Cricetulus griseus: one gene and its partners. The protein of the gene in region 3 interacts with the protein of the main gene of each other region in a biochemical or structural test. Links are inferred from orthologs where the notes say so. Each region holds a gene or a part of one and is shown on either strand. Other genes may lie near its edges.

The links.
Region 1: the proteins of Grip1 (region 3) and Pparg form a complex in vitro, tested with the Homo sapiens proteins (2 studies listed by BioGRID). The link is inferred for Cricetulus griseus from reciprocal best matches to the Homo sapiens genes GRIP1 and PPARG.
Region 2: the proteins of Grip1 (region 3) and Thra form a complex in vitro, tested with the Homo sapiens proteins (2 studies listed by BioGRID). The link is inferred for Cricetulus griseus from reciprocal best matches to the Homo sapiens genes GRIP1 and THRA.

Annotation. Positions count from the first base shown.
Region 1 is NC_048601.1:29,374,744-29,378,394, forward strand, and holds part of Pparg (peroxisome proliferator-activated receptor gamma), read right to left. Parts: intron 1,787-3,651; coding exon 1,587-1,786; intron 1-1,586. UniProt on the Homo sapiens protein: Nuclear receptor that binds peroxisome proliferators such as hypolipidemic drugs and fatty acids.
Region 2 is NC_048600.1:111,824,966-111,828,716, forward strand, and holds the start of Thra (thyroid hormone receptor alpha), read left to right. Parts: upstream 1-1,389; 5' UTR 1,390-1,555; intron 1,556-3,751.
Region 3 is NW_023276806.1:137,039,146-137,042,896, reverse strand, and holds the start of Grip1 (glutamate receptor-interacting protein 1), read left to right. Parts: upstream 1-1,179; coding exon 1,180-1,312; intron 1,313-3,751. UniProt on the Homo sapiens protein: May play a role as a localized scaffold for the assembly of a multiprotein signaling complex and as mediator of the trafficking of its binding partners at specific subcellular location in neurons.

The DNA of each region.
Region 1 (3,651 bases), on a different chromosome or scaffold from region 3:
TTTACTTTCAACATGGGAATGAAGTAAGCTTATTTTCTGTAGTCAGATTAGCTGTGTACAGGTCTTCACTCATGTTTCACTTGCTATGGCTGCCTTTTGTGCTTAGTGGACAGACTGCACTGTACTATGTGTGGTCCTGGGAATAGCATGCCGAGAATGCTCCCAACTAGACGTCAGAAAGCTTACATCATAGCCTTCCGATGTCTATGTGCACATGCCTCTCCACTTCAGTTCCTTCTCCTTAAATGAAGATGGTAGTAAACAATAGCAGCCTTCAGATGGCCCCGTGGCTGGAATGTAAAGAATGTATAAAATACTTGGGAATTGCAGGATCTGGGCCCTTGTGTATCTGAAACTCAACTGTTCTTAGTGGCATGTGGCTCTTTCTCACAGCCATTAGATGACTATGCTCTAAGTCATTTAATTAAAGAGAAAGAGATCACCTGAGAGAGTCAACAAAATATGATTTTTTTTCTAAAATCCAAATGTGTATCAAGTTACATGAATCTACCTATTAGTTGCCTCGATGTCCTGGGCATGTTCACTAAGGTTCTCAAGAGCTGGATCCAGGTCTTCTGCATGGGATCTGCAGCTCTTACTGCCTACAGACATTCTGTAGACCACATCATCAAAGCCAGACCCTGTCTGTAAAAACTGAGGGACAGAGACTCGACCCAGTCATGCTCCCAGCTGACAGTGGAATGGGAAGCAGCATGTATTTTTTCATTTTAATGCAATTTGGTGTTGATTCTCAGCTTCATGTTGGAAGCTTTCTGCTTCCTACAAAACTGGACTCCACAATGATTTTCAACTATTATGAATTTTCTAAACAATGTCGCTTAAGGATCCTTTTGAGGCTTGGGCATGTATCTCAGCTCTAGCACAGGTGTACGTGCATGCTTGAGGCTTTGAGTTTAATCAATATTTAGCACAAACCCCCATAATAATAAAATAAAATAATAAAATATTCCATTGTAGTAGCTTAGGCAGCTTAGATCCTTAGAAAGTAGGATTCATGTATATAATAAAAGGATAGAGTCGCCAGTTTCCCAGGAATAAAGCTTGGTACTGTAAGAACACAGGTTTCATGATACCCTGGGTGGACTTCTGTGCCAACTTTCAACTTGGGAAGAATGACTCCGGAACCCTTGAAAGGTAAAAGTGGGATCCAACACCTTCTACACCTGCTCAGCCTCCTCCACGGCTGCTGAGACACTGTGTCCTCACCAGTTATTTTGACACTGAGCAAAGAGATGGGTCTGGAAAGAGGGTAGGGGCATGAGAGGGCTTCACATTCATTCATGAGCATCGTGATCACCTATGAGTTCGTGTGTTACTCTCAAAGTTTTTTTGTGTGTGTGTTTTTAAAACTACAGCTTGGAGGAGTTGCTCTTTTTTTCAGAACAATGTTTACTTATCCTATTTGAATACATTTCCTGTGTTTTGGACCCAGCCTGCCACAAGATTTTAACAGTTCACAGCTGAGCTATATTCTGCATACACATGCATTCTGAGGCAGATCATTTAGTCCAAGAAAGTACCCCTGGCTCCAGCCACCCCCATGAAGAGAGCAGAAGAGAACTAACTGATTTGTCTGTTGTCTTTCCTGTCAAGATCGCCCTCGCCTTGGCTTTGGTCAGCGGGAAGGACTTTATGTATGAGTCATACAAATGCTTCGCCAGGGCCCGGAGATCAGCAGACTCTGGGTTCAGCTGGTCGATATCACTGGAGATCTCCGCCAACAGCTTCTCCTTCTCGGCCTGTGGCATCCGCCCAAACCTGATGGCTACAGAGGAAGAGGAATGACAGGATGAATCATTGGATCATTACTATGGCTCTGCATTGTGCTCTCCCCAGCCTTGGTTCCCACAGTGTAGGAGCCCCTCCTCTCTCCACCCCGTGCTGGTTCTGCTTTCTATCCACCACTTTGCTCATGTTTTTATTTCACAACAGTAGCACAGAAAACTGAAAATTGAATTATTTACTTCTTCAATTTCAAAAGGCAACATATGATCCTGTTAGGAAATTGGAAGAATCTGTTTAGCAAATAGGAATACACATTCATTCAAACATGAAGTAATTGAGAGATAATTCCTATCCATCCTTTAAGAGCCAGGCTTTCAAGTACAGCTAATTATCTTTTCCCAGTACTCCATCCAATGATCCAAGTGTTCACACTGCACTTTAATTATGACTTTATTTGACTCTTGTCCCTCTGTACTACAATGTCCTGAAGCAGGGACACTGTCTTATTTATCTTGGTAACTTCTGCACTTCACAAAAGGTCAGGTAGGAGGATCTACATGTTTCATGAATTAAGTAAGGAGCTACGAAGTCCCAGTTGTACAAGCACAGGCTCTGTTCTCAGGCAGTTTGTGTGATCTGCTTGTCCCTGATGTGAAGAAAGGATGGTGCTTTATTCCATCTAGTAGATCAGAGAACTTGGACATTGAATGGATGGAGTTGGACTTATCGCTAACTCTGTAGAATTACCCCTTATTGAGGTTCATCAGAAAGACACCTTTATCCTGGGCTTCTCAAGGGGTGAGGAAGTGTGAATGCAAAAGAAAGATTAAAGAGAGACCACAGAGCCTAAGGTGGGAATTAATCTTTGTGAATTGTTGTCTGGGGACAGAACTTGCCTGGCATGTGTTAGACCTACATCTCATTCTCAGAAAATAAAATTAATAATAATCTGTTTATAGGTTTTCAACTTGAATAAATTTTCCTGCCTTCCTTCTGATATCATTTGTAAAAATGTCACTTTGAATAATGCTTTTCTTTGTGGTCATTCTTCATTGTTGTTTTAAAAATATTTTTAAAAAATAAATTTAAAATGGGGGTGCTAGAGAGTTGGCTTAGTGGTGAAGAGCATGTGTTACTCTTGTAGAGGCCCTGGTTTGATTCTCAGCATGCATTTGGTGGCTCACAACCATTTATAACTCAAATTCTAGGGGATCTGACATTCTTTTCAGACCTTCTTGGGCCTTGTGCATGGTGAACACATGTTCTACTACTGAGCTACAGCTCAACTCTTGTTATTTTTATATTATATTCTTGAGACTAGGTCTTGCTGCATAGCACAGTGTGGCCCAGAACTTGAAAATCCTTGAACTAGCATCCTTGGTTACTACCATATCCAGCTCAATTTTGTTTTAGATAAAAGATTGATTTGTATCTCTGAGTCTCATATGTGTAAACTCATCTCAGTTGGCCCTATACTTTATCACTAATAAAACAATTATACTCAATAGAGATGCTTGCCTCTAGTTTACATTAAATCAGAATATGTTTAGATACTTTTGATAAATATAACCTTTGTACATGACCCCTTCAAAAAGAAATCTTTAAACAATTGCCCCCCCTTTTTTTTCAGTCAAAATTGCAGCCTCCCATTATTCTCTTCCATTTTAGCTGCACTGGGATAAGAAATGTCAGCTTACTGAGGGGCCTTCCCACCTGGTCCCCAGATCCACTGGGCTCCCTCTGTCTATGACCTTGACACTACTCTCCTCTTTTTCATAACTCTGGCCATAGTAGTTAATAATAATGTTTTCTCTTTTCCTCCAGTCTGTAGTCTTCATGAAGACAGGAGTCTTGTTCATTAAACTCTTGTTTATTATACTCAGCACTTAGCACTTATAGAGCATT
Region 2 (3,751 bases), on a different chromosome or scaffold from region 3:
TGGTTCAGGGTGTAGGTGGCTGAGACTAAGATGAGCAAGGGCAGCCCAACTTGGATAGACTGTTGGTCAGCATCCCACTCAGCAAACGATTCTATCCAGTATAAACTGAACGGTTAGAAGAGCAGCTCCCCTGACACACTCACTGGCTCCTCCCCAAGAGCAAGCTGGGGAGGCAGGGCTCCGCCCTGGCAGCCGTGGGAAGGCTATGGCCCCCGCTGGTAAAACTGGGCTAATGACAGCGGGGGAACCGGCGGGGCCAGAGGGGGGTGCTAGGGTAATTAGACCTCTGCCTGGCGGTAGTAGATCCCGAGATGAAAGGGGCTATGGCGTCACTGACAGGGTTTTATGTCCATGAATGCAAAGGGGTGTGCGTGTGTGCGCGCGCGCGCGCGCGCGCGCGTGTGTGTGTGTGTGTGTGTGTGTGTGTGTGTGTGTGTGTTTGGTGCACGTGCGTGCGCGTGCGCGCGCAGGGGTCCGGAACTAGCATGGAGACCTCTCCTTTGAGAAAATGAGTCCATCTATTTGCAGCCACTCTGCTCCTTAGGTTGGCCCTGGAACCATTTGGATTTTGATGGTGCAAACATGAGAGGAGATCGTACCTCAGTGAAACTGGGAGCCGAGGGACAGTAGAGAGTCTTGCCCACCCCCCTCCCCAAGCTTAGCACGGGCTGTATATTGTTGGGGAATGGCTGGTGGGCACTGAATAGAAAGAGCCTCTATGGAGAAAAGAAACGTTTGCAGGAGGAGGCAGTGGATCCAGCATTAATGTTAGAAATGAGAAAGGAGGCATGAAAATGAAAAATGAGACTCCAAAACGGTTAGAAAATAAAATGGTTGAAGTTAGGAGGATTTCAGAAGTTACCTGCCCAACACTTGGATTTTAAGCTCTAACTAACCCTGGCAGCTGTAATTTGTTCAAGGTCACACAGAGAGTTGCTTGGAGAGAAGGGACCCGAACTATGAAACAAACCTATCGTTTGGTATCTGGGCTTTCTCCCGGATTTATAAGGTGCAGAGAACTCCCCGAAACTTCCCCTCTACCTCAGGGTGCAAACCAGAAAACCCCCAATTCTCCCAGCGAGTAAAAAGCTATTAAAAAAAAATGACATCTTGCTCAAAATGTGTCACAGAGCCTCCTCGCTCCTCGACGGAGCCTCAGGGGTGAAGTGGGCGAGTCCGAGCCTAGTAGAGGCCAAGGCGAACGAGGGGCTGCGGGGCGACCAGCCGGGGTCCCGGGGCGCGGCGCGGGCCGAGGGGCGGGGGCCGACGGCTGCGAGGCGGCCTGCAGGGAGCAGCCGCGAGCCGGCCGGGCGCGCGGAGCCGGAGCCCCAGCCGGAGCGGGGCGGGGGAGGGAGGAGCCTGAGCGGCCGCCGCCTCTGCCGGAGGAGCGCCGGGGCCGCCACACTCGCCCCCCGCCCCCCGCGCTCACTCGCACTCACACCCCGGCGCTGGAGGCGGGCGGCCCGGGCCCAACCGGCCCCCCATGGACGCCCCCAGCACGGGGCGCTGAGACCCCCGCGTCGTTGCCCAACTCGGTTCAGCGCGCCAAGCCAAGGTAAGGAGGAGGGAGCGAGGGGGCATTAATATGCAAATGCATCGCGATTGATTATGCAAAGCCGCGGGTCTCTGGCCAGCTCGGAGGCGGGCTGGGGGCGGCCAGGGGGTTCCCGTCGCCGACCTGTGCCTTTCCGGGCGCCCGGGTGACCCTGTCACAGCCCGAGAGCGAGCCACTGACGCCCTGGGAAAGGGAGGTGCTGTTAAGTGGTCGGTGGGCCCCGGGGTTCGCTCGCGGAGATGGCGTCTGGGCCTCCCCTTCGAGGGCCCGCCCGGCCTCTGTCCGGCCGGTCTGCTGCGCATTCCCGGGTTGGGCCCCGCTGCCTGCCGAGGCTCCCCCGCCCGCCGCGCCGCGGTTTGTTTACGGTGTGCCAGAAGCCTGTCGTGCCCCCCCAACCCTCCCCCCTCCGCCAAAGAGGGCGAATGGCCTTTGCAAAGCCGCCTCCAGCTACGGAGGGCAATGTGGGTGCGGCAGGGTGGGGGGGGGCCTTGCATGGGCTGGGGGAGAGTGAAGTCCCCCTCCCCTCCCTGCTTTCCCAGTTGAGCATGGCTTTCTGGTTGCAACACTCCTAATTGCAAAAACGCGGCGGGTGGGGTGGGGGGAATGTGAGCCTGTAGTAGTGGGGGTGTACTAGTGGATGGTCCCTGGATGATTAGGAGAATTGCTGGCCTGTGGTGGGGAAGAGAGGAAGCAATGGACCCGTGTTTGTGTGAGTGTGTGTGTGAGTGTGTGTGTGTGTGTGTGTGCTCCCCTGTTTCCCTCCCTTTGCAACGTGTCTCCGGTGGCCCTTTTCTGTCTAGGGCCCTCCCTTGTCCAGTGTGAAAGGAAGGCCTGGGAAGATGTCAAAGGCAATGGAGAGAGCCACCCATTTCGGGGACCAGGGGTGGGGGGGTACACAGAAGGAAAGCCGGGGAGATGGGAGCCTGCCCCTGAATGCTGGCTCTGGACCCAGGAGGGGGAGGGGATGAAGGGGGCCATTGTCCAAGATGAAGGGGGAGGCAAAGGTGACATGCAGACACAGATATGCCCACACAGACAGCCACACGAACACTCAGGGACACCCAGGCAGATTCAAGGACAGGAGCTGCTGGACACACCCACATGGGGACAAGGGAAGAGGCAGACTGCTGCTGCATGGTGGAGCTCAAAGGGGTTGGACACACCCACGGGAGACCAAGAGCAGAGAGACAGCCTGTGCACATACCCACGCACAGGGTCACAGGGAGATGCTGTCACACACAGGGGCAAGGAAGAGTCGCTGTCACTATCACATGCATGCATGCATGCATGCACACACAGCAGTTGCACACAGCCGCACAATTACAAAAGACCCTGTCACTCACAAGCACACACGAGCTCACATGTGCCCAGTCATGCAGTCATCATTGCTTGCCATGACAGTCACTGCCACTCAGTCAAACAAAAAACACAGCTACACATCAACACATGTGTACTCAACTTAGCAACAAGTATTTTCCTGGGTTCATCTGTGGAGCTGAGGTTCTATGGACAACAAAACCTTTGCTACCGAGAAAATCAAATTCATCTGTATAAAAAGACTTTTCTGCATATTGGTGCACAGGATGCATTCCTGATAATATAGTCTGTTACTGTTGGTTGTCATACCACCCAGTTACTAGATGGCAATCTCCTTGAGACATGGGAGAACCTCTAGAAGAACCCTGGATCCCACCCAGAGCCTAGCACAGTGTGTGCTCTGTAAACACTTGTTAATTGATTGACTGTAGGAACTCCAGGCACAGGTGCACTCCTTTACACCTAGTCTCACAGGTGCAGGGGCCATGCACAGGGCTCCCGAGTGCAGTCACAGGTCCCACCTGGCAGTGTCCAGATAACCCTTGCAGATAGACACATTGTAGCTAGGGCAGGAACGCACTTAAATGCACACAGCCACAGACTATTCCCTCTGGCTTCTTTCTATCTTCTAGGCTCAGCCACTGTGTAGCAATGGGCTCTCCCCCCCCCCTTTTAGAGGGACAGAGAAACAAGAGCAAAGTGGGTACAAAGGGGGTTCCAGAGGGCCGAGTCATGGGCCTGCAGCAATGTCCAGTGACTTCTAGCAGCTGGGATTGTCCTGGTTGCTGGGGGAGGGGTGTCTGGGGAAGAGTTGGGAGTGGCTCTCTGGCTCTCTCTCATCCCTAGCCTATAAGCCAGTGGGGACCTGGCTGCCCCTGC
Region 3 (3,751 bases):
ACATAGGATCAGTGCTTACCCATGTAGTCTCTAAGGGACTTCTGCCCTTTAGCCTCAAGTATTTTTGATAGGTTTTTTGGGTTTTGTTGTTGTTTTTATAAAGTTGTTTGTGATTTTTAAAGATAAGTGTAAACAAGGCATAGACACACTTAAGAACATTTCTCCCTTTAAGAATTCAGGTTCACTTGCCCTTTTGCACTCACTTGTTTTATTGTTAAGCTGTGTGACAGCTCAGCCTGTGTCATACTTGAGTTGCATGCACTCAAAGTTGAATCATTTGTGTTCCCCTTTTCTGAAAACCATGCAGCTTCCTTTATTTGCTGATTGTGGGGCGGGCACTGTTACTAAGCTGGTGAGAAGCTCTGAGAAGCACATTTTAATATTTAGATCAAACAGCGATTGGAATACATTAATGCCCAGTGGGGTAAATGTGTCCTTTGAAAGCAGCTGCTAGGCTTCTCCCTGCTGCTCCAATTAACACATACAGCACACTCAGTCAGCAAGAGGGCTGTACATATGGATGAAACCACTTCGCAGATCACTAGTGTGGCTTACCAAGAGCCCAAAGAGTTAACCAGCCTTCTCTTTGCCCAAACTGTAGCTTTCTAGGAAGTTTCCCAAGTGCCAGCTGTGCTCTGAGCAAAGGAATGTTAATCGAAGTGGGTAGGTTGCTGGTGGGGAAAGCCGGTTGTCCCTAGCTTTGGTTCAGTCCAGTGACTAGCGAGCTTCCCCACCCGCCCTGGTGATGGAGGTGTTGGGTAGTGACATTTTAGTGCCCGGACGCCTCTTGCTTCAGCTGAATGAAATATCTTGAACTTTTGTTTGGTATGGAAGCAAGTTGAAGCCCGCAGCTCCGCTGTTTGTTTTTAATTGGTATTATCTTACTTTTGTTATCTCACTTTCTTTCTCTGCCCCACCCATCCTTTAAAAAAAAATATAGCAGATCTGACAGTTTCTTGGGCTAAATGAGAAGTCTCACCAAGGTACTCCCTTATCGCTGTTATGTTTTCCCCTGCTGCGGCTGAACTCTTGGCTTTGATGGACACAGGGAGCAAGGCTGGAGGGTAATGTGTCCCAGTAGCAGGGCTTCCTGAGGGTCATTCATGCTCCACCGACTTGCAGAGCAGCTGGGCTGTCCGCTCTGCTGCTGGCTGCGCAGCTCTGCCCCGGGAGCCAGTCATGGACCGCTTCCTGGGATTCGTCAAGCAGATTCGGAGGTCTAGAAGAAGAAAGGGGAAAAAGTACCGCCCGGAAGAGGATTACCAGGAGGGCTATGAGGATGTGTATTACTATGCTTCTGAGCATTTTCGAAGTAAGCGCTCTCCTACACCCTCCTCCCCTCCATCCTCCTGGTCCTTCTCACTTGCCGGGGCTGACAGTAAACCTTGCATGCTTCTTTACTCTTGGATGCAAAAGATTTACCAGATGGTGTTGTGTGAAGTGCTAGCTCCATTGTACTTGGTTTGTTGTGAGTATAGCCACCACGTCCGATCTGCTCAGTATTACCAGCCCGGGTCTATACAGAGGTTAATATTGTAGATGTAATTGATTGATTCTGTTATTTGAAGGAGCCGTTCTATCTCGTAGGTGGTTAGAATATGTTCTGTTGTTGTCATTGTTTTTTTCAATAATTTTTTGTGTGTGCCTGTATATTTTAATCCTTTCAAGAAAGAAAAGGTTGGCTTGTTTGAAAGTAGTTGTTTATGTTGGAGTGGATGTTCATGATTAATGCTACAGTTCCGACTTCTGGACAGTTACCTGTGATGAAACATGCTGTTTGTAGGAGGAAGTTGATGTATGTTCATAATTTTGTTATTAAGTTAGGGGTCTCATTTACTGTCAGCTAGCAGCAGCAATACCTGTAGAATTAAAAAAAAATACCCACATGGCGACATTTGTAAATTGACTTTAAAATAGCAGAGAACTAAAATGTTTCTTGTACCTGTCAGTGCTCAGGGTTCCTGGTGAGGCTTAGACAGGACCCAATAGATTTAAAATCCAGGAACTGCCTCAGGGCGAGGAGAGAAAACATCTCCCTGCCAAGAGCACTGAGCTTATGTGCCCAAATGAAGGGGAGGGAGATGAAAGCTATGTGTGATCTACATTTTAAAAATTAAAAATTATTTCTTATCTTCTTGAGCAAGAATCTTTATGAACTTGTACCTGAAGCACAGTTTCTTTTTTCCTTCTGGCCTTTTGAAGTCTAGCTATGAATGTATTCCATTTATACCTTTTGAGCATTGGCTAATAAATAATTTAGATCCAAATTTCTTTGGCACTGAAAGCCATGGGAATTATTTCTACATGACAAAAACCCTGCTGTGATTGATGAAAGCTGAGAGTTGAAAACTCATGTGGTGACAATAACACAATAATGCCAATTATATTTCTTTGGTGTTTGCCTGAACGGTATTGCTATAATGTTTTTACAGAGTGTTCTCTGAGTTTCAGAGATATTTCCAAGTTATAATTCTTTTTTCCTGAATAATCTATTCTAATGTAGTGACAGTCTATGTTTCCTAAATTTAGCTTCCTTGATGTATTCTCAAATTGAACTAACATTTGTGGCGCACATTTAAAAAAAATACTGCCAGCTTGCATGAGGAGTAATTCTGAAATGTAGAGACTGGGGTGGGGGAGTTTAAAGAGCATTGCTTGGACTGCTATTCCTTGAACACTTTCTTGCAATCAATACACACCGAGTCTAATTCACACCCTCTGTGATTTCTGTTGTGATGAATGTGTGTTCAAATTGACTCAAACAAAATCTCTCAAATGCCTACATTCTACTTGTTTTGCTGAGTTTTTTTTTTAATTTAAATAAATTTGCCGATGAAAAAAAAAAGATATGTCAGCAGGGCAAAGTGCTTTCCAAGAATAGACTAAGAAGATGGTATAATGAAGGTGTAATAGTTATTACCATTAAGTTCAGAGAAAAACTCAGAAACCCTGCCTTATCAGAGTCACCAAGGACGTTCTAAGGCTACGACACTAACCAGCCTGAGTGTTTGCCTTTCCACATCAAAATTACATCCAGTGATTTTTTTTTTTTTCAGAAGCACCCTTTCTTTATACGATTCAGTTGAAAACTTGTAGACTTAGCTGGCTGGTGGGTCCTGAACTTCAAAATGCTACATTTTAAATATAATGTGTCACAGTGAACTGACATCTGGGGTTTGGCATTTCATTAAATATTAAATAGCGCAAGCTTTTGCAGAAGGCATGTGACATAGCACAGTGACCTCCTGGGGCATCTTTGGTTCCAGTTTCAGGGCCTCCCTGAATTGGACAGAGGAGATTCCACTTGTATTTAACTGCTATAGAAAATCGTACCAGGCAAACCTGACTCTTAAAGCCAATCTTCTCAAATGGGTAGTACGGCTGAATTCAATTACATCTGCTGTGTATCTGTTTAATTAGTCTTTGGTATAACTTGGAATCTATACCCCATGTATCGCATCACATGGGGAGAAACTCCATTTATGTTAAGGCTGAGAGCATCGTAGAATTTATTGATGATAGTCATGTCTTATTTAATGATGCCATTGATTTTTTTTTAAACATCAGTCTTGGTCTCTAGTGTTTTTATTTCCTTTTGTGAAACTTAACTCTGCCATGAAGATTTTCTATCAGTTCATATTGTAAGAAAATGATCATATGATAATGAAAGATAGAGCTAATAAGGGCTTTCCAGAAAATATGCCCTCCCCCCAATTCTTTTCCTCTCTTACATAGTTTTAAGGAGTTCCAA